Linked DNA regions of Callithrix jacchus. The protein of the gene in region 1 interacts with the protein of each later gene in a pairwise test. Links are inferred from orthologs where the notes say so. Each region holds a gene or a part of one and is shown in the gene's direction. Other genes may lie near its edges.

The links.
Region 2: the proteins of C7H1orf94 (region 1) and HNRNPF interact in binary tests that used the Homo sapiens proteins (3 or more experiments, as listed by UniProt). The two-hybrid records come from large-scale screens. The link is inferred for Callithrix jacchus from reciprocal best matches to the Homo sapiens genes C1orf94 and HNRNPF.
Region 3: the proteins of C7H1orf94 (region 1) and GCC1 interact in binary tests that used the Homo sapiens proteins (3 or more experiments, as listed by UniProt). The two-hybrid records come from large-scale screens. The link is inferred for Callithrix jacchus from reciprocal best matches to the Homo sapiens genes C1orf94 and GCC1.
Region 4: the proteins of C7H1orf94 (region 1) and RAD51D interact in binary tests that used the Homo sapiens proteins (3 or more experiments, as listed by UniProt). The two-hybrid records come from large-scale screens. The link is inferred for Callithrix jacchus from reciprocal best matches to the Homo sapiens genes C1orf94 and RAD51D.
Region 5: the proteins of C7H1orf94 (region 1) and CDKN2D interact in binary tests that used the Homo sapiens proteins (3 or more experiments, as listed by UniProt). The two-hybrid records come from large-scale screens. The link is inferred for Callithrix jacchus from reciprocal best matches to the Homo sapiens genes C1orf94 and CDKN2D.
Region 6: the proteins of C7H1orf94 (region 1) and CCHCR1 interact in binary tests that used the Homo sapiens proteins (3 or more experiments, as listed by UniProt). The link is inferred for Callithrix jacchus from reciprocal best matches to the Homo sapiens genes C1orf94 and CCHCR1.
Region 7: the proteins of C7H1orf94 (region 1) and BANP interact in binary tests that used the Homo sapiens proteins (3 or more experiments, as listed by UniProt). The two-hybrid records come from large-scale screens. The link is inferred for Callithrix jacchus from reciprocal best matches to the Homo sapiens genes C1orf94 and BANP.

Annotation. Positions count from the first base shown.
Region 1 is NC_133508.1:70,756,120-70,759,619, forward strand, and holds part of C7H1orf94 (uncharacterized protein C1orf94 homolog), read left to right. Parts: intron 1-201; coding exon 202-462; intron 463-3,500.
Region 2 is NC_133513.1:36,076,449-36,080,340, reverse strand, and holds the end of HNRNPF (heterogeneous nuclear ribonucleoprotein F), read left to right. Parts: intron 1-1,309; 5' UTR 1,310-1,361; coding exon 1,362-2,609; 3' UTR 2,610-3,392; downstream 3,393-3,892.
Region 3 is NC_133512.1:119,386,003-119,390,050, forward strand, and holds the start of GCC1 (GRIP and coiled-coil domain-containing protein 1), read left to right. Parts: upstream 1-1,248; 5' UTR 1,249-1,650; coding exon 1,651-2,682; intron 2,683-3,531; coding exon 3,532-4,048. UniProt on the Homo sapiens protein: Probably involved in maintaining Golgi structure.
Region 4 is NC_133506.1:99,061,352-99,064,851, forward strand, and holds part of RAD51D (DNA repair protein RAD51 homolog 4), read left to right. Parts: intron 1-1,871; exon of another isoform or gene 1,872-1,912; coding exon 1,913-2,003; intron 2,004-2,132; coding exon 2,133-2,203; intron 2,204-2,835; coding exon 2,836-2,952; intron 2,953-3,500. UniProt on the Homo sapiens protein: Involved in the homologous recombination repair (HRR) pathway of double-stranded DNA breaks arising during DNA replication or induced by DNA-damaging agents. Bind to single-stranded DNA (ssDNA) and has DNA-dependent ATPase activity.
Region 5 is NC_133523.1:9,744,341-9,748,572, reverse strand, and holds the start of CDKN2D (cyclin-dependent kinase 4 inhibitor D), read left to right. Parts: upstream 1-1,432; 5' UTR 1,433-1,465; intron 1,466-1,743; 5' UTR 1,744-1,758; coding exon 1,759-1,899; intron 1,900-3,398; coding exon 3,399-3,758; 3' UTR 3,759-4,232. UniProt on the Homo sapiens protein: Interacts strongly with CDK4 and CDK6 and inhibits them.
Region 6 is NC_133505.1:35,974,947-35,978,446, reverse strand, and holds part of CCHCR1 (coiled-coil alpha-helical rod protein 1), read left to right. Parts: intron 1-394; coding exon 395-698; exon of another isoform or gene 699-732; coding exon of another isoform or gene 733-762; intron 763-3,500. UniProt on the Homo sapiens protein: May be a regulator of keratinocyte proliferation or differentiation.
Region 7 is NC_133521.1:45,581,185-45,585,435, forward strand, and holds the start of BANP (protein BANP), read left to right. Parts: upstream 1-1,451; 5' UTR 1,452-1,535; exon of another isoform or gene 1,536-2,923; intron 2,924-4,251. UniProt on the Homo sapiens protein: Controls V(D)J recombination during T-cell development by repressing T-cell receptor (TCR) beta enhancer function. Binds to scaffold/matrix attachment region beta (S/MARbeta), an ATC-rich DNA sequence located upstream of the TCR beta enhancer.

The DNA of each region.
Region 1 (3,500 bases):
TGGGGGATCGGAATAGGCAGGAGCCATGGAAGATTTCAGGGAGAGATTGGGATTGTATTTGGCTGAAAGAGAGTCCCCCAGAGTGGCCCAAGCCTCAGGTGTGTATTACAGAGGATTCATCATTTAATCCACAAAATGGTGCTTCCAGCATTCAGTGCTTAGCCTTCTAGAGGCATTAACTCAGTTTCTCTCTTCCTATAGAATGGAGCCCTGGCACCAAGAAGCCAACAAAGGGTCGAGAGAGCCTATTTCTCAGCCAGTGGCCCCAGAGCCAGAAGGACACCTGTGGTGAGGAGGGTTGCTGTGACCCAGTGGGCACTGCATCACTTCCCCTACCACCCAAGAAACCTGCATGTCCAGTCAAGAAGAACATACTCTATGAGTTATTTGGGGCCACCAAGAACCCCAGCGGGCAGCTGAAACTTCGAAACAAAGTGGAAGTGGATGGACTGGAGCTGAAAGGTGAGCTGACCTACCCAGGGACGGGCTGCAGGGAAGGGGCTTGCATTGACCCTCACAGGCTTCAGGTGGCTCTGTTTGTCTCATCTATAGAAAATTCACTGCCTTTCTATAGTTGTCAATTTTAAAAACTACAAAATGGGAAAAATGACTTTCTCCCTATATCCCTTCTTGGGAATACAGTGCCAGAGAAATGTAGTTGGCTTTCAAGGGTTATATCAGCATTATTATTATTTATTTTTATTTTTGTAGGAAGAGAGGAAGGCAGGAAGGGAGGAAAGGAGGAAGGGAGGGACGGGGGAAGGAAGGGAGGGAGTGGGGGAGAGAAGGGAAGGAAGGAAATCAGGCAATGAGAGAGACATTGACGACCAGGATCTAGAGGTCTACAGTTGATTTCTTTCTTTCTTTTTCTTTTTTTTTTTTTTGAGAGAAGGAAAGAATAAAAAAGGAGTGAAGGAGAGGAAGAAAGAGGAAGAAAAAGAGGGAGAGAGAACGGAAATGTTGCTTTATTCTAAAAAAAATGGGTATTAATAATGGCCAATCAATATTTCATTTAAACCTATGAGTAGGTGTGATGTGGTATTGACAAGAATGTATATTTTGTGTATTTAAAGTGGAGAGCTCTATAAATATTTATTAAGTTTACTTGTTCCGGATCTGAGTTCGAGTCCTTGATATCCTTATTAATTTTCTATCTCATTGAGTCTAAGTCTCTACGTATCTGGGCATTAGGATCATTAGCTCTTATTGTTGCATTGATCCTTTTACCATTATATCTTTGTTGCTTTAAAATCCATTTTATCAGATACGAGAATTGCATCTCCTGCTTTTTATTTATTTATTTATTTATTTTTGCTCTCCATTTGGTTGGTAAATCTTTCTTCTTCCCTTTTTTGAGTCTTTGTGTATCCTTGCATGTGAAATGGGTCTGTATGTAGCATACCGTTGGGTTTTGGCTGTATCTTTTGATTGGGGGATTTAGTTGATTTAAATTTAGGGTTACTGCCATTTGATGTTAACTGGCTGTTTTATCCATTCATTGATGTAAATTCTTCATTATGTTGATGCTCTTTACTTTTTGGCATTTTTTAGAAAGGCTAATACTGGTTGTTTCTTTCTATGTGTAATGCTTCTTTCAGAAGCTCTTGTAAAGCAAGCGTGGTGGTAATAATATCTCTGAGTACTTGCTTGTTCATAAAAGATTTTATTTTTCCTTCAGTTATGAAGCTTAGTTTGGCTGGATATGAAATTCTGGGCTGAAAGTTCTGTTCTTTAAGGATGTTGAATATTGGCCCCCACTCTCTTCTGGCTTGTAGGGTTTCTGCTGAGAGATCTGCTGTAAGTCTGATAGGCTTCCCTTTGTGGGTAACCTGACCTTTCTCTCTGGCTGCCCTTAGTATTTTCTCCTTCGTTTCAACCCTGGTGAATCTAACGATTATGTGCCTTGGGGTTGCTCTTCTTGAGGAATATCTTTGTGGTGTTCTCTGTATTACCTGGGATTGAATTTTGTCCTGGTTTGCTAGTTTAGGAAAATTTTCCTGAATAATATCCTGAAGAGTATTTTCCAGCTTGGATTCATTCTCTCCATCACATTCAGGTACACCTATCAAACGTAAATTTGGTCTTTTCACATAGTCCCACATTTCTTGGAGACTTTGCTCATTCCTTTTTATCCTTTTCTCTCTAATCTTGTCTTCTCATTTTATTACATTAAGTTGGACTTCGACCTCTGATATCCTTTCTTCTGCTTGAACAATTCGAGTGTTTAAACCTGTGCATACTTCTTGGAGTTCCCGTATTGTATTCTTCAGTTCCATTAATTCACTCATATTCCTCTCTAAGCTGTCTATTCTCATTAGGATTTCGTCAAAACTTTTTTCAAACTTCTTAGTTTCTTTACATTGGGCTACAACATGTTCTTTTAACTCACAGAAGTTTCTTATTATCCATCTTCTGAAGCCTGATTCTGTTAATGGGATGCGCTCGTTCTCCATCAAGCCTTGCTCCCTTGTTGATGAGGAACTGTAATCCTCTTTAGAGGGAGAGGCATTCTGATTTTCAGTATTCTCAGCCTTTTTACGCTGGTTTCTTCCCATTGTTGTAAATTTATCCACCTGTTGTCTTTGTAATTACCAACTTTCAAATTAGGTCTCTGAGTGGACGTCCAAGTTGTTAATTCCCAGGGCCGAAATATGAGCAACCCACTGCGCCGGCCAAAACAGTGGTGTTAAGACTGATGGTGCTTTTCTGCCTGGGAATCTCCAATCTGGTTTCCTTCTTGAATCCATAATAGGCGACTCTGCCTTCTCGGAGCTCCAAACCTCAATCAGAAGGAGAACCAGTCCCGTTTACTCTGCACCAAGAGCTGCCGTGCCAAGGTGCCGGCAAAACTGTTGCGCCGGCCACAAGAGTCGCGCTGATGACCCATGCACCTCCTCCAAACCTTGGTCAGAAGGGGAACCAGTCCCGTTTACTCTGCACCAAGAGCTGCTGCGCTGAGGTGCCAGCAAAACTGCTGCGCCGGCCACAAGAGTCGTGCTGGCAACCCATGCAGCTCCTCCACTGGGAATCTTCTGCTCCATGAGCCATCAAAATTTGTCTGAAAGTGTGGTGTCCTCTCGTTCTCTGTGCTTTCACTGGGAGCTACAATCCCGAGATGTTAGCGATCAGCCATCTTGGTTCGTTCCCCCCGTATCAGCATTATTAATAGTCACTTCTGAATATAGCCCTGATCCAGCATGTATTATATCCTCTGAAATTGTCCAAGCCAAAACAAAAAATCCTTGTTTTAGATTATTTCTACATTGAGATTATGTTCCTGCTTTCTCTTGCTTGCCCTCCTACAACTGTTCTAGTCAAACCTCTTTTTCCAAAAGGAAGCCAATAAGGGGGAAACAGAGGACCCATTTCTGATTTTTTAAGCCCCCACGACATCTTGTAGAAAGGAAGAATCCAGGATTCTTATCTTGAAACAACTCAATCTAACTTCATTCGTTTAGACCAATTTTGAGTCACTGCATGCTGAATTTAATGTTTTAAAA
Region 2 (3,892 bases), on another chromosome or scaffold:
AAAAAAATATTAGCCAGGGCATGGTGGCACAGGCTTGTAATCCCAGCTACTTAGGGGGCTAAGGCAGGAGAACCACTGGAACCTGGGAGGCAGAGGTTGCAATGACATGAGATGGCACCCACTGCACGTGAGCCCGGGAGACAGAGCGAGACTTTGTTTCGAAAAAAGAAAAGAAAAAAGATTTCCATGTACTCTGTGCTTGTTTTGGGCATTATCTTTGATACCCCATACTGCAGTATTTTTCTTGCTTGTAGATAGGTTACATATGTTGTAGTCTGGGTCAACTGCTCCTCTTTCTCAAAAGACTTCCTTCCAGAGTGTGGTTGGCCTTACTCTTTGAGTTTGGACTTCAGGTTCCATGTACCACCCTGGTGGGAAGGGCATTTTTCAGCTCTCCTGTGATATCATCTCTTTCTTCCCAATGCCCTCTACCAGTTGTTCAGCAAAAGGCAGCAATTCTGCTGTATTTTATGTGAACCTGTGAATCAATCATTTGATCTGGTTTCTCCATTTACTTGCAGTGCACATAACTAATTCTGCTGGTGAATTAGTCTGCTTGTCTGTATATGTCGTCAGTTTGGCCTCACACTTGACTGGTATTTACTTTGAATTAGCAATTTAGGAGGGCCGGGCGCAGTGGGTCAAGCCTGTAATCCCAGCACTTTGGGAGGCCGAGGCGGGTGGATCACAAAGTCAAGAGATCGAGACCATCCTGGTCAACATGGTGAAACCCCGTCTCTACTAAAAATACAAAAAAAATTAGCTGGGCATGGTGGTGAGTGCCTGTAGTCCCAGCTACTCAGGAGGCTGAGGCAGGAGAATTGCCTGAACCCAGGAGGCGGAGGTTGCGGTGAGCCAAGATGGCGCCATTGCACTCCAGCCTGGGTAACAAGAGCGAAACTCCATCTCAAAAAAAAAAAAATTAGGAGCAAAATGATAACTCCGTGGACACTAGAAGCCATTGCTATCTATAAGTGAACTGCCACATTTCATCATGACAAATAGTGGAATAAATATAACAAGAAAATGTGCTTGCTCTAACCTGACTAAAACTTACATTCCTCTGTGTTCAAGGCACCAAATTCACATGCATCGTCCTGCCTGGTAGACACCTGATTTTTCAAACTGCCTGTGAAAAATCATGTAAATTTTTTGAGAGATCTGAAGTTTAATCTTAGCTCTCAAATGTATTTGGTATATTTATTAATGTCTTACTACCTCCCTCATCTGTAAAAGAGGGAAAATTACTATTGCATATATTTTTTAACACATATTAAATAAATTTGTCATTTTTGTTTTTGTTTTTCAGCCACAAAAAAGCCACACCCAAGACCACCTGACACCCATCCTGTCAAGTGTCCATGATGCTGGGCCCTGAGGGAGGTGAGGGCTTTGTGGTCAAGCTCCGTGGCCTTCCCTGGTCCTGCTCTGTTGAGGACGTGCAGAACTTCCTCTCTGACTGCACGATTCACGATGGGGCCGCAGGTGTCCATTTCATCTACACTAGAGAGGGCAGGCAGAGTGGTGAGGCTTTTGTTGAACTTGGATCAGAAGATGATGTAAAACTGGCTTTGAAAAAAGACAGGGAAAGCATGGGCCACCGGTACATAGAGGTGTTCAAGTCCCACAGAACCGAGATGGATTGGGTGTTGAAGCACAGTGGTCCCAACAGTGCCGACAGCGCCAATGATGGCTTCGTGCGGCTTCGAGGACTCCCATTTGGATGCACAAAGGAAGAAATTGTTCAGTTCTTCTCAGGGTTGGAAATCGTGCCAAACGGGATCACATTGCCTGTGGACCCCGAGGGCAAGATTACAGGGGAAGCATTTGTGCAGTTTGCCTCCCAGGAGTTAGCTGAGAAAGCTCTAGGGAAGCACAAGGAGAGGATAGGGCACAGGTACATCGAGGTGTTTAAGAGCAGCCAGGAGGAAGTTAGGTCATACTCAGATCCCCCTCTGAAGTTCATGTCCGTGCAGCGGCCGGGGCCCTATGACCGCCCCGGAACCGCCAGGAGGTATATTGGCATTGTGAAGCAGGCAGGCCTGGAGAGGATGCGGCCTGGTGCCTACAGCGCAGGCTATGGGGGCTATGAGGAGTACAGTGGCCTCAGCGATGGTTATGGCTTCACCACCGATCTGTTCGGGAGAGACCTCAGCTACTGTCTCTCTGGAATGTATGACCACAGATACGGCGACAGTGAGTTCACAGTGCAGAGCACCACAGGCCACTGTGTCCACATGAGGGGTCTGCCATACAAAGCGACAGAGAACGACATTTACAACTTCTTTTCTCCTCTCAATCCTGTGAGAGTCCATATTGAGATCGGCCCAGATGGAAGAGTGACGGGCGAAGCAGATGTTGAGTTTGCTACTCATGAAGAAGCTGTTGCAGCCATGTCCAAAGACAGGGCTAACATGCAACACAGATACATAGAACTCTTCTTGAATTCGACAACAGGGGCCAGCAATGGGGCATATAGCAGCCAGGTGATGCAAGGCATGGGGGTGTCTGCTGCCCAGGCCACTTATAGTGGCCTGGAGAGCCAGTCAGTGAGCGGCTGTTATGGGGCCGGCTACAGTGGGCAGAACAGCATGGGTGGATATGACTAGTTTTGTTAGGAACATTTGAGTTATTTCAATCAAATTTTACACAGGCAGCCAACAAGCAGTTAAGAGCAGTTATAATAGAGGAAGCTGTGGGACCCATTTTGCACCATGAGTTTGTGAAATCTGGATTAAAAAAATTACCTCTTCAGTGTTTCTCATGCAAAATTTTCTTCTAGCATGTGATAAGTAAACTAAAACTATTTTCAGCTTTTCTCGATTAACATTTTGGTAGTATACTTCAGAGTGATGTTATCTGAGTTTAAGTAGTTTCAGTATGTTAAATGTGGGCCTTTTACACCACATCACTGAACACACTGGGGAGACGTGCTTTTTTGGAAAACTCAAAGGTGCTAGCTCCCTGATTCAAAGAAATATTTCTCATGTTTGTTCATTCTAGTTTATATTTTCATTTAAAATCCTTTAGGTTAAGTTTAAGCTTTTAAAAAGTTAGTTTTGAGAATTGAGACACAATACTAATACTGTAGGAATTGGTGAGGCCTTGACTTAAAACTTTCTTTGTACTGTGATTTCCTTTTGGGTGTATTTTGCTAAGTGAAACTTGTTAAATTTTTTGTTAACTAAATTTTTTTCTTAAAATAAAGACTTTTTCACAATGACTGGCACACATTATCTGCTCAGCAAAAGATAGCAAAATGGGTGGTTGAAGATAATTCATTTTAATCGTAATGTATTTTAGTGTGAATTTAAAAATAATTTCATACATCAAATCTATGATCTCCCTTATATTCTTATGAGGCTAAATAAAAGTCTAATAAAAATGTTAAATATGTGAATGGTGGAAATGGTGACTAGAAACACACATTCCGGGAAGCATCAAATGGACACATGCGGCCCCAGCCACCTCTAATGTGCATGGTTCTAAACCATTTGGAATTTCCTACTAGGCCCTTTGATGCTGGAGTCACAGGTGATAGCTAGAGAGCTTAAGCCAGTTTAGTTTTTATAAAATCTAGTGATTTACTTTTTTCTTGGATCAGGCTCATGATTTTTGTGAGGATGTATTTGTGAATTAGGTTATGGCAGGATACATCAAGCTTGAGACCCGTTTTCAAACTGCTAGCCACCTTAGCAAAAGAAAGCTGTGCTTAAATTCAGGCAGTTCTATGTATAGCACACAGTATTACCTTTTTTTTTTTTTCACATGGAGTTTCATTCTTGTTGCCCAGGCTGGAGTGTGATGGCACAATCTTGGCTCACCACAACCTCTGCCTCCTGGGTTCAAGTGATTCTCCTGCCTCGGCCTCCCAAGTAGCTGGAATTAGAGG
Region 3 (4,048 bases), on another chromosome or scaffold:
GTCACTACCTTCTCTTCCCCATGACTGAGTCTCTTCACAGGTCTCCTGCCCCTTGTTCCCTCCACCATGTCATACAAACCTTGATGACATTCCACTTTTCAGATTAAAATCCATTAGGGCCTTACTATCACCCAAGATAAAATTTAAATGCCATAAGTTGGGTCCCTGCCTCTCATGCCAGCCCCTCTGTTGTCCCCTCCTTCACATACCCTAAACTTTTGAATGCATTCTGGGTGAGTCAAACTCTGATACCCTACAGGTCTTTGCATTTTTTTCCCACCTGCCTGGAATGCTGGTTTCCCTGATCTCTGGTTAGGTGGACAATCAGGACTCATACTTCAAATCCCAAAGTATTATTCCCAAGAGCCTTCCATTCTTCATTGAGCCAGGCCTCTTTCCTCTCTTAACTTTCCTACCACTTTGAATATACCAATACATACCGGTGTTATAGCAGGACATGTTTGCATGTCTAGTTCCTCACTAGATTGTGAGTTCCCTGAAAGCAAGGTCGTATCTCTTAATGGTGTTATCGTCTGGTACAACACATAATACGTTGAGAATCAGACTGATTCAGATAGAACTAAACTTCTTAGCTCTGTGGTCTTGGGCATGTTACGTATAACTTTTTGCCTCATGTTCCCCTATTTGTAAAATAGTGCTAATGAAAATAGTGCTTATAATAATTATCGTGAAGACGAAATAGCAAAACTCTTGTGCGCTCCTTGTACATAGCTGGCACTCAGGATAGACACGGCTATAGAGTGCCCTCCATAAATATTTGTTGAATCAACTCAGCAGAACTAAGGAAGCGTACTGACTATTACGCTGTATACCTACTAGGTGCCAAGCCTTGTGCTAGAGTACTCCAGTTTTCGCGGTCTATATGCAAGTCTTTAATTGTTGCCTTTTAGGGATATGGGACCTGAGCCCCCAAATCCTTGGATGCGTCGTTCACCTAGGTGTTTGTTAAGAACGCTGTGCGACGTTGCCCTCTGTCGCTCGCTGATCGTAGCCCGAGGTCAAGCTTAGGCGCTCTCACAAAACCCAGACCACTCTGATGTTTTCGGCTTTGCTTGTTTCTCCTTTCCCAAACCTGTTGGCCGCTCGCTACCCTACTGCGTTTTCAACAGGCCGCGCCCACCCACTGGCGGACTGGGCTCCGCCTAACTCGCGCCCACTGGGGGCGGGGCTTGCGGCGCCTAGCTGACGTCACTTCCAGCGGACACGGAAGCGCGGTAGTGGGCAGGCAGTTGTAGTTAGGAAATCGTGATGGGACGCCGCTCTGCGTGAGCACCTGACCGACGTGGGCCGAGCGGGGCCGGCCCGGGCTCCTGTGGCCTGGACAGAGCGGAGAGTGTGGAGCGGCTTCTGGGCCAGCGCGGACGAGCCCTGGCCGAGCGCGCCTCTGGTGCCAGCGTCGCCCCGCCTCCAGGGTAGTACCCGCCCCACCCTCCGGGCTTGGGACCAGGCGGGCACTTTTGTCTGTAGGTTCCGCCTATCCGCATTAGGTCCGGGATAACTGGGTGCAGCAGGTGTGCGGCCCGCCGCCGGACAGCCCGCTGGCTGTTTCTTGAAGCCCTTGCCTGCCTCTTCGCAGCCCTCTCTTGGGCTACTGGAAAGCTGAAGTGGAGCAGTCCGTTCAGAACCTTCATGGAGAAGTTTGCTATGAATTTCGGTGGCGGCCCGAGCAAGAAAGACTTGCTGGAGACTATAGAGACGCAGAAAAAGCAGCTTTTCCAGTACCAGGCACGGCTCAAGGATGTGGTCCGTGCCTATAAAAGCCTGCTGAAGGAGAAAGAGGCGCTAGAGGCCAGCATCAAGGTGCTGTCGGTATCCCACGAGGCAGATGTGGGCCTCGCAGGTGTCCAGCTTCCAGGCGTCGCCTTTCCGGACTTTGTGGATGACCGGTGCTCCACTCACAGTGAGGATAGCACTGGGACCGCCACTAGCGTGGATACGGCAGCCAGTCTCACCAGCACCAAGGGCGAGTTTGGGATAGAAGATGACAGACCAGCCCGTGGACCACCACCTCCGAAGTCCGAAGAGGCCAGTGGGTCAGAGAGTGGTGTTAGCAGTAGCAGTGGGGATGGGCCATTTGCGGGTGGGGAGGTGGACAAAAGACTGCACCAGCTGAAGACTCAGTTGGCTACTTTGACCAGTTCTTTGGCCACAGTCACTCAGGAGAAGTCCCGCATGGAGGCTTCTTACCTGGCTGACAAGAAAAAGATGAAACAGGACTTAGAGGATGCCAATAACAAGGCAGAGGAGGAGAGGGCTCGCCTGGAGGGAGAATTGAAGGGGCTGCAGGAGCAAATAGCAGAAACCAAAGCCCGGCTTATCACGCAGCAGCATGATCGGGCCCAAGAGCAGAGTGACCATGCCTTGATGCTGCGTGAGCTCCAGAAGCTGCTGCAGGAGGAGAGGACCCAGCGCCAGGACTTGGAGCTTAGGTTAGAAGAGACCCGAGAAGCCCTGGCAGGACGATCATATGCAGCTGAACAGATGGAAGGATTTGAACTTCAGACCAAGCAGCTGACCCGTGAGGTGGAGGAGCTGAAAAGTGAACTGCAGGCCATTCGAGATGAGAAGAATCAGCCAGACCCCCGGCTGCAAGAACTTCAGGAAGAGGCCGCCCGCCTTAAGGGCCATTTCCAGGCCCAGTTACAGCAGGAAATGAAAAAGGTAATTATCCACCTCTCTTTCAAACATAGTCATTGATCTGAAGTGGGAAATACTAGGGTTTTTTTCCTCCTTTGCTAGTGAGAGCTAAGTGTTTGTACTGTCATTTTTGATGCTACCTGAAAAGTTCCACTGGTGAGTCCCGGGAAGTGCTGTTTTATGTGGTGTTGACGTAGAAGCTTCCAGGAGGATGTGGAGCTTCTCAGTGTAGGCTGGGTTGGAGCCAGTCAGCCCTGCCCTTCTGGGCATTGGCATCTTACCAGCTGTGTTCTATGAAGCAGTATAGTGGCAGCTGTACAGTAAAAGGTAGTGTATTTTCTGTTGGTATGTGCCGCTAGGGAGGGTGGCTGAAGGCAAAGGGGGATTTTCTCAGAAGTAACCTCTTGTCATTGCCTTTACTTAAGATTTGCCTATTCTGGAGAAATGCTATTTTCCAGAATAGGCCTCCTTTCTGGTGGAGAAAGGGGGCTTCCTTCCAATGTGGTGAGGGAGCTCCAGCTCAGTTTTGAACTACTAGGAATATTAGATAAGGAAAAATCTTGTATGATTTCTTAAGATTTGAGGAAGCACCTGAAAAACAACAGTGACACACATTATATGTGAGTTAGGTGGAAAGCAGAATGGAATGGCAGATATGCCAAGGTGCTTAATATTTTTTAGTATAATATGTCTTGCAGAACCCAGGCAGGTCATAGGAACTTTTGTTAGCTCCTGAATCAACCGAAAAATCCCTATTTCCCATTCTTGTCAGGCCATTCCAATCCTGTGACCCTTTTGCTCCCCTGTCCTGCTTTCTCAAAGTTTGCTGTGGGGCTTTTGTGGATGCATTATTTCTCTTCCCTTATTTTGCAGACAGCTCTTGCAGAGGATCAACTCCGTCAGCAATCTCAGGTGGAAGAACAGAGGGTGGCAGCCCTGGAGAATCAAATATCTGAGGTGTCGGAGCTGCTGGGCACGTACGAGAAAGCCAAGCAGAAGGACCAGCTGGCCATCCAGAAGCTGAAGGAGCGTATTCTGCAGCTGGACCTGGAGAACAAGACACTGGCTCTAGCAGCCTCCAGCAGGTCCCCTCTAGACAGCCATGGAGAGGAGTCTAGTCTGGATGTCAATGTCCTGAAGGATAAAATGGAGAAGCTGAAGAGACTGCTGCAGGTTGCAGCCAGGAAAAGCCAGGTGACCCTGGATGTGGAGAAGCTCTGTGACCTGGAGATAATGACCAGCTCGGAGACTGCTGATGGGGAGAAGGCTACTGCACTCTATTACCAACAGGAGCTGAAACAACTGAAGGAAGAGTTTGAGAGGTACAAGATGAGGGCCCAGGTGGTCCTAAAAAGTAAGAATACCAAAGATGGTAATCTGGGGAAGGAGC
Region 4 (3,500 bases), on another chromosome or scaffold:
TCATAGGTCATAGCTGGTTATGACCCACCAGCTTGTTGAGACATGAAGCTGAGTAGTACTGATCTCACTTTTAGAGATGAGAAGAGTGAAGGCCAGAGAAGTGAAGTGAGTTGACCAAAGTTGACAACATATTTAGGACAAGAACTAACCCTACAGCCAAGTCCTCTCCATTCCAGATCAGAAGACTATATTTTGTACTACAGGACCATGAGATGGCATATCTTTTATTGTTGCATAATAAGTTATCAAAACCTTAGTGGTTTAAGACATGTATTTCTTATCTCACAGTTTCTATGGGTTAAGAATCTGAGGCCGGGAGCCGTGGCTCATGCCTATAATCCCAACTCTTTGGAAGGCCGAGGCAGGAGGATCACTTGAACCCAGGAGTTCAAGACTAGCCTGGGCAACATAGTGAGACCCTGTCTACAAAAAGAAAGAGAGAGACAGAGAGAGAGAACCAGAATCAGGATATAAGAAGTAAGGGAGAAGAGAAAAGAAGCAACAAAAACAATTTAAATCCAGGGAAACCAGGAGGATGCTCCTGCGTGTGTAAAGACAGGAAATTATGGTTACAAAGATGGCACCAGGCTGGGCATGCTAGCTCATGCCTCTAATCCTGGCACTTTGGGAGGCCAAGGTGGGCAGATCACTTGAGGCCAGGAGTGTGAGACCAGCCTAGCCAACTTGGTAAAATCCGTCTCTGCTAAAAATACAAAAATTAGCTGGATGTGGTAGTGTGCACCTGTAGTCCCAGCTACTTAGGAGGCTGAGGCATGAGAATCACTTAAACCCATAGAGAGAGGTTGCAGTTAACTGAGATCATGCCACTGCACTCCAGCCTGGGTGACAGAGCAAGACTTAGGGAATTTATTTGGAGGCATTTTAGATATGGAAGATGAGGCCTGGAGTCATGATCTAGAAGGAGACAGTGGAGTAAAGAGAAGGCTAAACTCTTCAGCAAAGGAAGTTAGAAATTTAAGGGTGGTAGTTAGCAGGACAGGAGAAAGAAGGTGGGGAGTCAGCAAAGGAAGAGAAGGGCCTACCACTATGGTGGGAGGCTGGATGCAGGAGAAAGATGGCTGCTGAGAGATCCATGACCAGAAAGGCCTCAGGACTACATTGGGCTTTCTGAAATGTGATGACTTTAGTATGGTTTTAAATTTTTTTTTTTTTTTTTGAGAGTCTTGATCTGTTGCCCAGGCTGGAGTGCAGTGGTGCAATCTCAGTTCACTGCAAACTACACCTCCCAGGTTCAAGCGATTTTCCTGCTTCAGCCTCCCAGGTAGCTGGGATTACATGTGTGCACCACCACAGCCAGCTAATTTTTGTATGTTTAGTGGAGATAGGGTTTCGCCATGTTGGCCAGGCTGGTGTCGAACTCCTGATCTCAAGTGATACACTGCCGTGGCTTCCCAAAGTGTTGAGATTACAGGTGTGAGCCACTGCACCTGGCCACTTTAGTTTTGATGTCCTGTGATTTAAATCCTTTATTTCGACTCAAGTCTTCAGTGAAGTCTGTTATACATACCAATGGGATGAGGGAGACATTGCTGCTGATGACGTTCTGTGATGCAGCTAGCTGTATTTGGGATGAGGGGGGTTATTTATTTATTTTTTTAATTTATTTATTATACTTTAAGTTCTGGGATACATGTGCAGAATGTGCAGGTTTGTTACATAGGTATACATGTGCCATGGTGGTTTGCTGCATCCATCAACCTGTCATCTACATTAGGTATTTCTCCTAATGTTATCCCTCCCCAATTCCCTACCCCCTGCTATCCCTCCCCTAGACCCCCACGAGGGTGGGGGACAGTTATTTCTTACTAGTTTCAGACAGAAGAGCAGGCTTGTCCTGTAATGTGTCCTAGAGGCCAAGAGGTTCGTGAGTGCTTCCCCCACATTCCCTCAGGTGACTGGTTCTTCAGGAACTATGAAGGTGGTGGTCGTGGACTCAGTCACTGCGGTAGTCTCCCCACTTCTGGGAGGTCAGCAGAGGGAAGGTGAGTGATGTGGCAGAGCCTGGGGTCAGTGGAATGTGACCTCGCCTCCCAGCTCTGGATTCTGGCCCCTGGCCAGCCCCATCCCTGGTTCCCCGCTGCCCTCCCTCTCTGCTTCTCCTCCTCCTGCAGGCTTGGCCTTGATGATGCAGCTGGCCCGAGAGCTGAAGACCCTGGCCCGGGACCTTGGCATGGCAGTGGTGGTGAGGAAGCAGGCTTGGCCAGTGAACTTGATTTTTAGTTATTGCTAGCTCTTTATTTCCTTTCAATGTCAGCTTCCAAACACCAAAGTGGCCCTTTAGGAAGGGGACAGATCCCTGCTTTCCTGGGTCAGCTAAAGCTCTGCACCATAAATAGCTTAAGGAATCAGGAATTGGCTTTGTTTGTTGATTGGTTTTTTCCTACCTTTTTCTTTTTAGTCAGGTTTATTGAGGTGTAACTTACATAGAGTAACTTTCTCCTTGAAATTCGACTAATGGAGATAGTTGTATCCAGTCTTGTGACCTTACCAAAGGGTCCCCCAGGCCCGTGCAGCCACTGATCTGTTTTCCATCCCAATAGTTTGGCCTTTTCCAGAGCTTCATATGAATGGATGTTTTTGCTGTTGAAGTAACTTTTTCTGCTTATGAGGTAGTTTTTTTTAAAGTCTGCTTGCTTCTTTCTCATAGAAAGGATAAAAAAATATATGATTCATATTTGCCATCAATCTCTATATCCACAGAAACCATATTAATATTTTTACATATCTCCATAAAATATTTTTTCTGCATATTTACTTATACATTTAACCAACTTTTTTTTCTTTTTTCTTTTTCTTTCCTTTTTTTTAAGATAGGGTTTCACTCTGTTGCCCAGGCTGGATTGTGAGGGTGCAATCACTGCTCACTGCAGCTCAACCTCCCAGGCTCAACCAATCCACCCGCCTCAGCCTCCCAAAATGTTGATATTACAGGTGTGAGCCCAGCCTTAACCAACTTTCTAACTAAACTAACCTCATGAAAAAAAAAATAGGCCAGGTGTAGTGGTTTATGCCCGTACATCCCAGCACTTTGGGAAGCCATGGCTGGTGGATCACGTTAGCCCAGGAGTTCGAGACCAGCCTGGGCAACATGGCAAAATTGCACCTCTATAAAAAGTACAAAATCCGGGTAGCCTTGGTGGCAGGAGGATTGCTTGAGCCTGGAAGGTCGAGGCTTCAGTGAGCTATGATCATGCCACTGCACTCCAGCCTGGGCAACAGAGCAAAACCTCATCTCAAAAACAAACAGGCCAGGCACGGTGGCTCATGCCTGCAATCCCAGCACTTTGGGAGGCTGAGACTGGCAGATTGCTTGAGCTCAAGAGTTTGAGACCAGCCTGGACAACATGGTGACACCCTGTCTCTACAAAAAATACAAAACATGAGCCAGGCATGGTGGTACACCCCTGTAGTTCCAGCTACTTGGGAGGCTGAAGTGGGAGGATCGCTTGAGCCCAGGAGGCGGAGGCTGCAGTGAGTCA
Region 5 (4,232 bases), on another chromosome or scaffold:
TGTAATCCCAGCTACTCAGGAGGCTGAGGCAGAAGAATTGCCTGAACCCAGGGGGCGGAGGTTGCGGTGAGCCGAGATCGCGCCATTGCACTCCAGCCTGGGTAACGAGCGAAACTCCGTCTCAAAAAAAAAAAAAAAAATTAGCTGGGCATGGTGGTGCGCGCCTGTAGTCCCAGCTACTCGGGAGGCTGAGGCAGGAGAATTGCTTGAACCCAGGAGGCGGAGGTTGCGGTGAGCCGAGACTGTGCCATTGCACTCCAGTCTGGGTAACAACAACGAAACTAGGTCTCAAAAAAAAAAAAATCTGTATTTAAAAACAAAAAACAAACCAACCAAAAACACCAGCCTGGGCAACATGGTGAAACCCAATCTGAACTAAAAATACAAATTAGCTGGGCGTGGTGGTGCGTCCTTAGTCACAGCTACTCCGGAGGCTGAGGCGGTTGGATCACTTGAGCCCGGGAAGTTGAGGCTGCAGTGAGCTGTGATCTCGCCACTGCACTCCAGCCTGGGTGATGGGAGTGAGACCGTGTCTCAAAAATAAATAAAAATTAACTATTGTCTCCGGCCCCAAACCATAGGTGTCCCTACAGCAGGGGCTGCCTGGCATGCTCTCCGCTCTGGCACCTCTAGGTGGTGCCAAATAAATCTTTGAGCGAAGACCTCTGAGTCCCTGTCTGTCTGCGACTCTGTCCTCCCAGGCCTTCTCACGTGGCAACTGCAGGCTCCTTTCCTCCTGGCTCAGTGTGAGCCAGGCAGGGTGATCCCTTCCTCTTCTACCCCGTCTCCCCATCTCCCTTTCTTCACTGTGCTTTACGCTAATATTATTTAGTTGCTTGAATGTGCGCGTGCAGCACCCAGAACGCTCCCTGCACACAGGAAAAGATGAGTTAATGAAATAAAGCGCCCAGCGTGTAGTAAGGGCCAATCAATGTCTATTAGTAGTGGAACCCCAGATTGGGTGGCCCCAGCCCTGCCTCCCTTCCCCCAGGAGGCGCCGAGGTCCCGGAGCAGCCCGCTCCACCCTGTCCTTGACCTTTCTCCCTGGGTCAGTTAAACCGACCGTCTTTCCCGCTCTACCCTGTCCTTGACCTTTCCCCCTGGGTCAGTTAAACCGACCGTCTTTCCCGCCCGCCGAGTACATTTGAAAACCGAAAACCCCGCCATTGCTGGCAGGCCACCGGTTGCCGCGCTCTGACCAAACAGGAGCGACGTCTTTCACCCCGAGCCCGAAATTACCCCGGCGACGCCAATCCATTGGTTACGCAGGTCCTGTGGGCGGAGCACCGTAAGGTTGCGCCACAGGCAAAGCGGCATCGTTACACAGTAGCGAATTTGTAAGAAAACAAATCCCCGGAGTTCGGGGCGGGGCCGGGAGCACGTTGGCTCCGCCCCCTGGCGGCTGCCCTGGCTGCTGCGGCGGCGCAGGCTCAGAGCAGACCCCGCCCGGCTAGGAGGAGGGAGGGTGAGTTGGGGGGAGACCCGGCCCCCAAGGGGCGGGCGCCGGGCAGGGCCCCGCGGGCGGCCGAGGGTTGGGCCGGACTCCCGGCCCCCCACCGGGGGCCGGCTGACAGGGGGAGGAGCCCGCTGGGAGGGCCGGGGTCTCGGGCTGGGGAGCCGGGCCGGGAGTGCAGCGCAGCGAGGCGCACCGCGGCCGCGCCCCGGGAGGGCTGTTCGGGCCAGCGCCCGCCGGCTCCTCGGTGCTGACGGCGCCTGGCTGGGGCGGGGTGGGGGACTTCGCAGGCCGTCATTGTCGACATGCTGCTGGAGGAGGTCTGCGCCGGCGACCGGCTGAGTGGGGCCGCGGCCCGGGGCGACGTGCAGGAGGTGCGCCGCCTTCTGCATCGCGAGCTGGTGCATCCCGACGCCCTCAACCGCTTTGGCAAGACGGCGCTGCAGGTGAGGCCGGGCTGGCTCAAGTCAGGGGCGGGGCGGGGCGGCTCAGCGAGGTGAGTGTTGAGACCCCAGAGCCCCTCTCCTCTGGTCTCTTGGCCCTGGTGGTGCAACCTACTGGGGACCGGTCCTTCTTCTCTAGGCTTTTATTGTTCCCCCATGGTCCCCTTTCGAAGGTGGGTGGTGGGTGAGGCTAGGTTGGAGGGGGAGGGGATAGCTTTCCAGATTCTTCTCTGGGAGGATTCCTGGTTCTCTGAGTGCAGGGGATTCTTTTTCTCTGGGGAGGTTTTCTATTCCGTGGGTTCAGCTTCTTTGGATGCCTTTTCCCTGGGGACGGCTCACATTTTTGGGGGCTTCTATGGGAAGATCCGATCTCTGGAAGGAGAGGTCCGGTCTCCAGGGGTTCCTCATTTTGTAGGGGGCTCTCTGAGACATATTTGGTTACTTGGGGGTGGGATCTTAATTCCCAAAGTTTATGCGGATCTTTGGTATAGTGTGGGGGCCCCGGAGGAGAAACAGTGTCAGATTGTAAGAGTCCCTATATTCCCTTGGGAGACGTGTTACAGAGGAGTCTCCTTTCTCTTACTGCTTTTGGAATCCTCCTTTCCTTTCTTTTCTCTCTCTCTCTCTTTTTTTTTTTTTTTTTAATTTTTTTTTTTATGGAAGCTGGAGTGCAGTGGCACGATCTTGGCTCCCTGCAACCTCCACCTCCCTGGTTCAAGCGATTCTCCACCCTCAGGCTCCCGAGTAGCTGGGATTACAGGCCCCTGCCACCACGCCTGGCTAATTTTTGTATTTTTAGTAGAGGCGGGGTTTCGCCAAGTTGGCCAGGCTGATCTTGAACTCTTGACCTCAGCTGATCCACCCTCTTCAGCCTCCCAAAGTGCTAAGATTACAGGCGTGAGCCCTGCACTGGTCAGAATCCTGTTTTTTGAAAGGAGCTCTCAGGTACCCTGAAGTGACATCATCATTATATAGGAGGAGGCTATTTCCTGGAGAATGGCGGTGGGGTTCACTTTTCTTTGGCATCTCTTTTTCCTTTTGAGGACTGTCAAGTTCTTTGGGGTAGTTCTCAGTCTCTTGGGGCCCATTTCCTGGAGGGGATTTTATATTTCCTGGTGATTGCCCATATCTGGGGTGTCTTTGGTCCCTTGGAGGAGAGTCAGGTTCCTTGAAAATTTCCATGGGGGCTGTTCTCTGGGTTGGGGGACTGATATTATTCTTAAGGGAGTGACCAGCTTCTGGCGGGTTGGGGTGAGGACAGGCGGTGGGGGGGTGGGGGGGCGGGGAGGAAAGGGTTCTCTATTCCCAGGAGAACTTTTTCTCTGCGTTCTCAAACAGTTCCCAGGGGGCTTATGCAGCTTCCCCGTTCACTAGAGGACCCCTCCTCTGGCATATCCTGTTCCTAGGAGATGCCTCTTTCTGGATGACCCTTCTCTCTCCAGTGACCCCTTTTTTGGAACCCCTTCCCTCGAAGACCTCCTGATCCTCTGTCCCTCACACAGGTCATGATGTTTGGCAGCACCACCATCGCCCTGGAGCTGCTGAAGCAAGGTGCCAGCCCCAATGTCCAGGACACCTCTGGTACCAGTCCAATCCATGACGCAGCCCGCACTGGATTCCTGGATACCCTGAAGGTCCTAGTGGAGCATGGGGCTGATGTCAACGCGCCTGATGGCACCGGGGCACTTCCCATTCATCTGGCGGTGCAAGAAGGTCACACTGCTGTAGTCAACTTTCTGGCGGCTGAATCTGATCTCCATCGCAGGGATGCCAGGGGGCTCACACCCCTGGAGCTGGCACTGCAGAGAGGGGCTCAGGACCTCGTGGACATCCTGCAGGGGCACATGGTGGCCCCGCTGTGATCTGGGGTCACTCTCTCTAGCAAGAGGACCCCATGGGGTTATATATCAGGAGAGAGGGGAAGAAACACTTTCTCTTCTTGTTTCTCCTGCCCACTGCCGCAGCAGGGGAGGAGCACCAGTTTGTGGCTTATAGGTGTTGGTTTTGGGGGTGTGTGTGTGTGTGTTTGGGGGACGTTTCTCATTTGTTTTTCTCACCCCTTTTGGTGTGTTGGACAGAGAAGGGCTCCGCAGTCCACAGCCACCTAAACGGTTCAGTTTCTTCTGTGCCTCAGACAAGGCAAGGGCCGAGCATTTAAGAGTGAGGTCGTCATTTCCAGAGCTCCTGGAACCTGGTGACCTTGGCCAGCTGTGCTCAGAGACCTGAAGTGACGTTGCTTCAGGCATGGGGGTGGGAGAGCGTCCTAAATCAATAAGAAGGTAGCATGAGTTTATATTCTGTTGGAAGCTTGTTTTCCAGTCTCTTGTACAGCGTTT
Region 6 (3,500 bases), on another chromosome or scaffold:
TTCGTCCAACTTTTCCACTTAAAATATGTGGCCTAAAAAATAAAACAATAAATAAGACAAACACCAAAAAACAAAAAGAATGTGGTGGCCTAATGGTACACACATTTGATGTTGAATCTGCCTGTATGTGGCGCTCTCTAGAGAGATCATGTTTCATGATCTCAGCCAGACCTTAGGTCCTGTGAGTCCAGGCACTGGACTTAACATGCTCAATAGGGCTTTGATGAATGATGATGGTGTAAGTGCAGACATCCCCATGCCCCAGCTTCAGCACCCCCTTCACCTCCCAACATGAGTGCAGAGGGGTCTTTTGCTTCTCCTGACTATGTTTATGCTCTCAACTATCCTTCCATCTCTGGAGACAAGTTTCATCTGCACTAACCTGTCTTTGAAGGTGCCGGGAGTTGGACGGGTCACAGGCCCTGAGCCAGCAGGCTGAGCTGATCTCTCGTCAGCTGCAAGAGCTGCGGCGGCTAGAGGAGGAGGTCCAGCTCCTGCGAGAGACCTCACTGCAGCAGAAGATGAGGCTAGAGGCCCAGGCCATGGAGCTGGAGGCTCTGGCACGGGCGGAGAAGGCTGGCCGAGCCGAGGCTGAGGGCCTACGTGCAGCTTTGGCTGGGGCTGAGGTTATCCGGAAGAACTTGGAAGAGGGGAGCCAGCGGGAGCTGGAAGAGGCTCAGAGACTGCACCAAGAGCAGGTGAATCCAGAGGTGGAAAGGATTCAAATTCATAATGGAGAGCTGGGCAGTAGCTTCCAAGCAGGTATTGCAGAAAAGACCCCCCGCCATGAGTAGTAAGCAGTGGAATGATGAGACCTTTTGGTGAAAGGAAACACACATGGCCTAGAGAGATGGAGAACTTGGGTGCTTTGATCTTAATTCAGATTCTACTTTTCCCCCAAGACTCAGGTGGCCTCCCACCACTTGAAGCCCTCCTTTCCTTTCTAGTAGGAAGTAATTTGCCTCCCTACTTTACTGCAGGTACCAATTCATTGGGGGTATTGTGGAGGGCAGTGTGGAAGGTGGGTAAGGAGGCTGTGGTGGACTGGGATAGAGATTATTCAGTCCACAGTGCTTACTCTTTGCCATCTATGAGACTTAGTGACCAAATTAGCCTGAGTCCTGCTTTCATGGATGGAGCTGACAGCCTTGTGGGGGATACACTCGTCTATATTTAATTTAATCATAAGTAATTGCAATTGGGGGAGTGCCTTGAAGAAGGACTAGAGAGCGCTAACTTGGTCTGGGGTTCAGGGAAGGCCACTAACCTGTCGGCATGTCAAGAAAAGTAACCATAGGGCTGGGCATGGGTGGCTCACGCCTGTAATTCCAGCATTTTGGGAGGCTGAAGTGCGTGGATCACAAGGTCTGGAGTTTGAGACCAGCCTGGCCAACATGGCAAAACCCTGTCTCTACTAAAAATACAAAAATTGGGCCGGGCGCGGTGGCTCACACCTGTAATCCCAGTACTTTGGGAGGCCAAGGTGGGTGGATCACGAGGTCAAGAGATCGAGACCATCCTGGTCAACATGGTGAAACCCCGTCTCTACTAAAAATGCAAAAAATTAGTTGGGCACGATGGTGCATGCCTGTAATCCCAGCTACTCAGGAGGCTGAGGCAGGAGAATTGCCTGAACCCAGGAGGTGGAGGTTGCAGTGAGCCGAGATCGCGCCATTGCACTCCAGCCTGGGTAACAAGAGTGAAACACGGTCTCAAAAAATAAAAATACAAAAATCAGCTGGATATGGTGGTGCGTGCCTGTAATCCCAGCTGCTCGGGAGGCTGAGGCAGGAGAATCACTTAAACCTGGGAGGTAGAGTTTGTAGTCAGCCAAGATCATTCCACTGCACTCCAGCCAGGGCAACAGAGCTAGACTCCATCTCAAAAAAATAAAAAAATAAAGAAACCATAAAGGAACTGGGAGAAAACAAGGGAGAATTAAATTCCTTATAACCTTGTAGTGTACAAGGCCTTTCTACCTATGAGTCAAAATCCAAAATCTTGAAGCCATAAAGGAAAAGATTGACTCATCGACTTTATAACATGAACATTACGAATAGCAAAAAAAAAAAAAAAAAGCTATATTTATAGCTCAGATTACAAGAAAAGGGTACTATCCCTAATATATAATGTGTGTATAGAATTTGGTAACGGAAAGACCAGCAGTCCAATCAGAAAATGGACAAAGGAGATTCATGAAAGAAACTTAGCAATAAGAAGTTAGGCCAGGCACGGTGGCTCATGCCTCTAATCCCAGCACTTTGGGAGGCCAAGGCGGGTAAACCACTTAAGGCCAGGAACTCGAGACCAGTCTGACCAACATGACGATACCCAGTCTCTACAAAAAATACAAAAATTAGCCAGGTATGGTGGCAGGTGCCTGTAATCCCCCATCTTCTTGGGAGGCTGAGGCAGGAGAATTGCGTAAACCCAGGAGGCAGATGTTAGGATGAGGTGAGATCACTACTCTCCAGACTGGGCAGCAGAGCAAGACTGAAAAAACAACAAGCTACCATTTGTGCTGAATAAGGAGTTGGCCAGTGAAGAGGTGTGTGGGGTGCAATGGTAGCTGGTGGACACTCAGCAGGACAGCAGATGGAGATGGGGACAGGAGGAGGCTAGAAGGCTGGAGCACAGAGATAAAGGGCCCTGAGTGTGTTGCAGAGCACAGGACCCAGGGTGCAAGGCCTTGGTCAGTTCAGAACTTGATACTTTCCCTTAAGAGTAATGAGCAGGCGGCCGGGCATGGTGGCTCAGGCCTATAATCCCAGCACTTTGGGAGGCCGAGGCGGGTGGATCACGAGGTGAGAGATCGAGACCATCCTGGTCAACAAGGTGAAACTCTGTCTCTACTAAAAATACAAAAATTAGCTGGGCATGGTGGTATGCGCCTGTAGTCCCAGCTACTCGGGAGGCTGAGGCAGGAGAATTGCTTGAACCCAGAAGGCAGAGGTTGCGGTGAGCCGAGATCGTGCCATTGCACTCCAGTCTGGGTAACAAGAGCAAAACTCTGTCTCAAAAAAAAAAAAGAAGAGTAATGAGCAGGCTGGGCACAGTGGCTCATATCTATAATCCTAACACTTAGGGAGGACAAGGCCAAAGGATCACTTGAGCCCAGTAGTTTGAGACTAGCCTGGGCAACGAAGTGAGATCCCCGTGTCTATTTTATAAAATAAGTTAGGGCCTGGCACGGTGGCTCACACCTGTAATCCCAGCACTTTGGGAAGCCAAAATGGGTAGATCACTTGAAGTCAGGAGTTTGAGACTAGCCTGGCCAACATGGTGAAACCTCATCTCTACTAAAAATATAAAAATTAGCCAGATGTGGTGGCTCATGCCTATAATCCCAGCTACTTGGGAGGCTGAGGCAGGAGAATCGCTTGAACCTGGGAGGCAGCGTTTGCAGTGAGCTGAGATCCAGCCTGGGCAATGAAGTAAAACTCTATCTCCAGAAACAAAAAAAAAGAAATTAAAAAAATTTTTTTTCCTTTTTTTTTTTT
Region 7 (4,251 bases), on another chromosome or scaffold:
GGCTCCTCCTTGGAGTGTTTGTAAGGTTCTTTTGCTGTGAGTAACCCAGCCGCCAGCCTCAGTGGAACCTCTGGGCCTCATTCTGGAGGAGACTTTGACTCGGTAAGGTTGCCCATGGTCGCACGGCCTGTGACTGCGCTCAGTCCTGGTTTTATCAAGGTAAAGCCTTTTCTTCTCCCAGTGAAAACAGCTCCCTTGCCCTGGGTTTGGGAGATCAAAGGCATTCTTGCTCATTGCAAATAATTCGGAAAACAGAGTCGAGTGTAAAGAAGAAATGAAAGGCAATGCAGTCCAGTTAAACAGAGGGAGATAACCAGGAATGACATTTCCAGGAATTGCCCTATACTTTGGGAATTTTTTCCTAGGATTACCACAAATGCACATTTGCACATTTATTCTACATAAAATATAACGTGTGCACATTCGATGCCATCCTTTTTTTTTTTTTTTTTTTTTTTTGAGACGGAGTCTCACTCTGTCGCCCAGGCTGGAGTACAACGGCAAGATTTCGGCTCACTGCAATCTTTGCCTCCTGGGCTCAAGTGATTCTCCTGCGTAAGTCTCCCAAGTAGCTGGAATTACAGGACTGCGCCACCACATCTAGGTAATTTTTGTAATTTTAGTAGAGACGGGTTTTCACCATGTTGGCGAGGCTGGTCTCGAACCGGTGACCTCCAGTGATCAGCCCGCCTTGGCCTCCCAAAGTGCTAGGATTACCGGCGTGACCACGGCGCCTGGCCGCCATCACTTAGGCATGTGTTTCATGTAGGAAATGTCTAAGACCATAATCACTACTGTGTGTGCTACCCCCCCGCGCGCGCGTGAACTCAGGCCCCTCTGGACGGACAATGGGGACCCCTGACCACTTACATCTTTGGAAACACGCCTCCCAGCGCTCCGGAACCTCAGGGCAGGACTCGTCGCAGCAGCAAGTAGGACCCGCTGGGGGCGCACAGCCCACCTGAATCATTGTAACTACAAGTCCCAGCAGCCCCTGGTGCGGGGACTGGACGCCGCGACCGGAGTCCGGAGAGACTACAAGTCCCGGCAGGCAGGGTCCAGACGAAGGCACTACGAGTCCCAGAATGCATCGCTCCTAGCTTGCGCAGGGAACCCTGGGAGATGTAGTCGTTGAGGAAGCTAATGCCTATTCATTCCATCTCAAAGAAGATGCAAATTCTTCAGACAGTCCACTGAGATGAGTTTTCTCAGGCAGGCCAGGCGCGTGGGCGAAAAACGGGGGGAAAAAAGCCCTGGGAAGCCGATACCGTCGCGGGAGAAGCCAGCCTGCGCATGCTCACCGGGAGGCCGAGCGGGAAAAGTGCGCGTAGTGGGCCTCGCCGCCCGCACGCCCCGCCCCGGCCCCGGCCCCACCCCCGGGCCTGCGCGCCCAGTGAGCCTGCGCGGAGGGCGGGGGCCGAGCGTCGCGGGGAGGGGCTCGCGGCGCCTGCGCAGAGCGGCGGCTTCTCTCGCGAGGACGGACGCCATTATCGCATCTCCCCGACAAACACCACGAGAATTCCGCAGCCCACACGGTAATTGCAGCTCCCGCAGCCGGTCGCGCCTCCGCCTCCCCCTTCCCGCGGGGCGAGAGCGAGAGCGAGATCTCCCTCCTCCCTCCTCCTCCTCCTCCTCCCCCTCCCGCCCGCCGGGCCGTCCGCGCCGCAGCCCCGCCGCCGCCAACTGTCTGGGCCGGGCGAGCGCCCCCAGCTCCTCGCTCCCCGTCCCTGGCCGCGCCCCGGAAGAGGGGCTCCCGCTTCCTCGCTTCCGCACCCCCTGCCCCGCCGCGCCCCGGCGTCCGTTGGGCCGCGGCTGCCGTAGCCCGGCCCGGGGGCCTCGAGCTCCCGATCTCTGCTCCGGGGCCGCGGCGGGGAGACTGGAAAGGCCTAGAACCGCGCCCGTGCTCCTCGGGGGACCGAGGTCTCCCTCGGGGGTGGCTCCTGCCAGCCAGCCGTGAGCGACGGGCACCGTTTCTGTGCCTCCTCCATGGCTGTGGACAGGAGCCCCAGTAGCCCAGGACTTGCACGCGGAAGCCTCCGGCGCGCAGCGAAACGGGCGATCTCAGGGCTGCCGCCGAGCTCGGCGAGGACCCCAGCCCGTTCCCGGGGGCCCCCTCCTCAGCGCCTGTGTGCGAGTTCTGTGGTGCAGCCCCTAAAAAGGGGGCCGTTTGTTTTTCCCTGGGGTGCAGAAAGTAGATGACGTTCCATCCCCACTGTGTGAGCGCACTGGAGACAGTGCCTTGCTGGAGGGGACTGTGGTTTTTCCCTGAGGACGTGGCAGGGCTTGTCTTGCTCTTGGGGAGATACATCAGCCCTGAAGAACTGTGAGCAGGTGCACGAGTGTGGGCTCTGAACGGTGGCGAGCTCGCACCCTCCCCGGGGAGGCCCGGGCCGCACAGTTGATGTGGAGCCGGTCATTCTCTGTTTGGAGTTGCCTGTCTGCCCGGGAATGTACTCCAGGGCCTGATGGCGTTGGCGGAACTTGCGCTGCAATAAATAACCGATAAGAGGAGGCAGTCTTAGGGTACACTTGTAGCTGGAAGTTCTTGGGGGACAGAAAAATAGCTCGGAGTAGTGAGTGGTTCTGAGGAAGATCAGAAAACATCAAATTAAAACTAGATCTGGTCATTTCGCCCGCAGCTCGCAAATACCCAGTGCTAGAAGAAAACACCGAAACGAGGTGAAACTGTATGTAGGTGCATTTCCCCTGCCTTGCAATTCAAATAAGAATATATTCATAAGCTGCAGCAAGTACCACTGGGCAGGGAGACCTCCACCCAGGCTGCGCTGGAGGCAGTGGGAAGACGCCCAGGTAGAAGAGCATCGAGGGTCTGGCGGGGCCCATAGCCTACGGAGCTGAGCCTCGGGGCTGACAGCATTCCAGGCTGAAGGCCCCCAGCAGGCTCCGATCCACATGTTAACAGGTGATTATTGTTAATAAACAGGTGTTCTGTATTTACTTACAACTCAAGAAATATTCCAGGTAGGCAGTTGTTACCCGCTTACCACTAACTGAAAGGTCCTCTCCACAAGGGAGCCACGGGGCCAGGGCAAACTTAATGTTTCTCAGCAATGTTGGATTCTGTGCTCACTGGTTTTAATGTTTTTATTTTCTGGAGGCAGGATTTTAACTGTCTGCCAGGCTGGAATGCAGTGTGGTGATCTTGGCTCACTGCAGCCTCAACCTCCCTGGCTCAAGTGATCCTCCCACCACAGCCTCCCAGGTAGCTGGGACCACAGGTGCCACCACACCTGGCTAATTTTTGTATAGTGGGGGGGGTTTCGCCTTGTTTCCCAGGCTGTGGCTTTAATCTTTAAAAAAAAAAGAGCTTCAGGCTGTGGGGGCAGCTCAACATCTTGCATCCTTCACCGTGACCCCCACTCCATAGATGAGGTGATGTGGCTGCAGATGCTGAGGGCATGTGTGCAGATGCACAGAGCCAGGGCTCCAGTTCAGTCTCTCTAAGCTGATGTTCTTAAAAAACACACCCCATCCATTCAGTGTTTTAATCAACATAGTGTATACAGCAGCCATGTCAGTGGAAGACTTACATGAAAAGCAGTGTCCCCTGCCCCACCTCCCAGCCCCATTCTTCAAAGCCTGGTTTCTTGAGGTCCTTCTCCATAGCTCTAAGTAAGCTGGTCTTTTCATTTGTTTTTGAGATAGGATCTCCCTGTGTTCCACAGACTCTACCCAGCCCTGGTGACCCTCAGCCTCCTTAGTAGTTGTTGCAGGCATGAGCTGCCACACCTGTTGCCCAGGGTGGGCTTTAACGTGCCCTTTAAGCTGATACTTTCTTTTTTTTTGAGATGGAGTTTCGCTCTTGTTACCCAGGCTGGAGCGCAATGGCGTGATCTCGGCTCACTGCAACCTCTGCCTCCTGGGTTCCGGCAATTCTGCCTCAGCCTCCTGAGTAGCTGGGATTACAGGCACGAGCCACCGTGCCCAGCTAAGTTTTTGTATTTTTAGAAGAGACGGGATTTCACCGTGTTGACCAGGATGGTCTCGATCTCTTGACCTCGTGATCCACCCATCTCGGCCTCCCAAAGTGCTGGGATTACAGGCTTGAGCCACCGCCCCTGGCCTAAGCTGATACTTTTTTTACTCAGCCTTGACTTTGTGTTATGATGGGTGACGGATCCCTTCTGTCACATGCCGCCTCCTCCATCTCATGTACCCTGTTTTCAGGGTAGGGTCAGGTCCCCTCCTTCTTCAGCCTCTCAGCTTTTTCTGTAACCTGCACACGAGCCA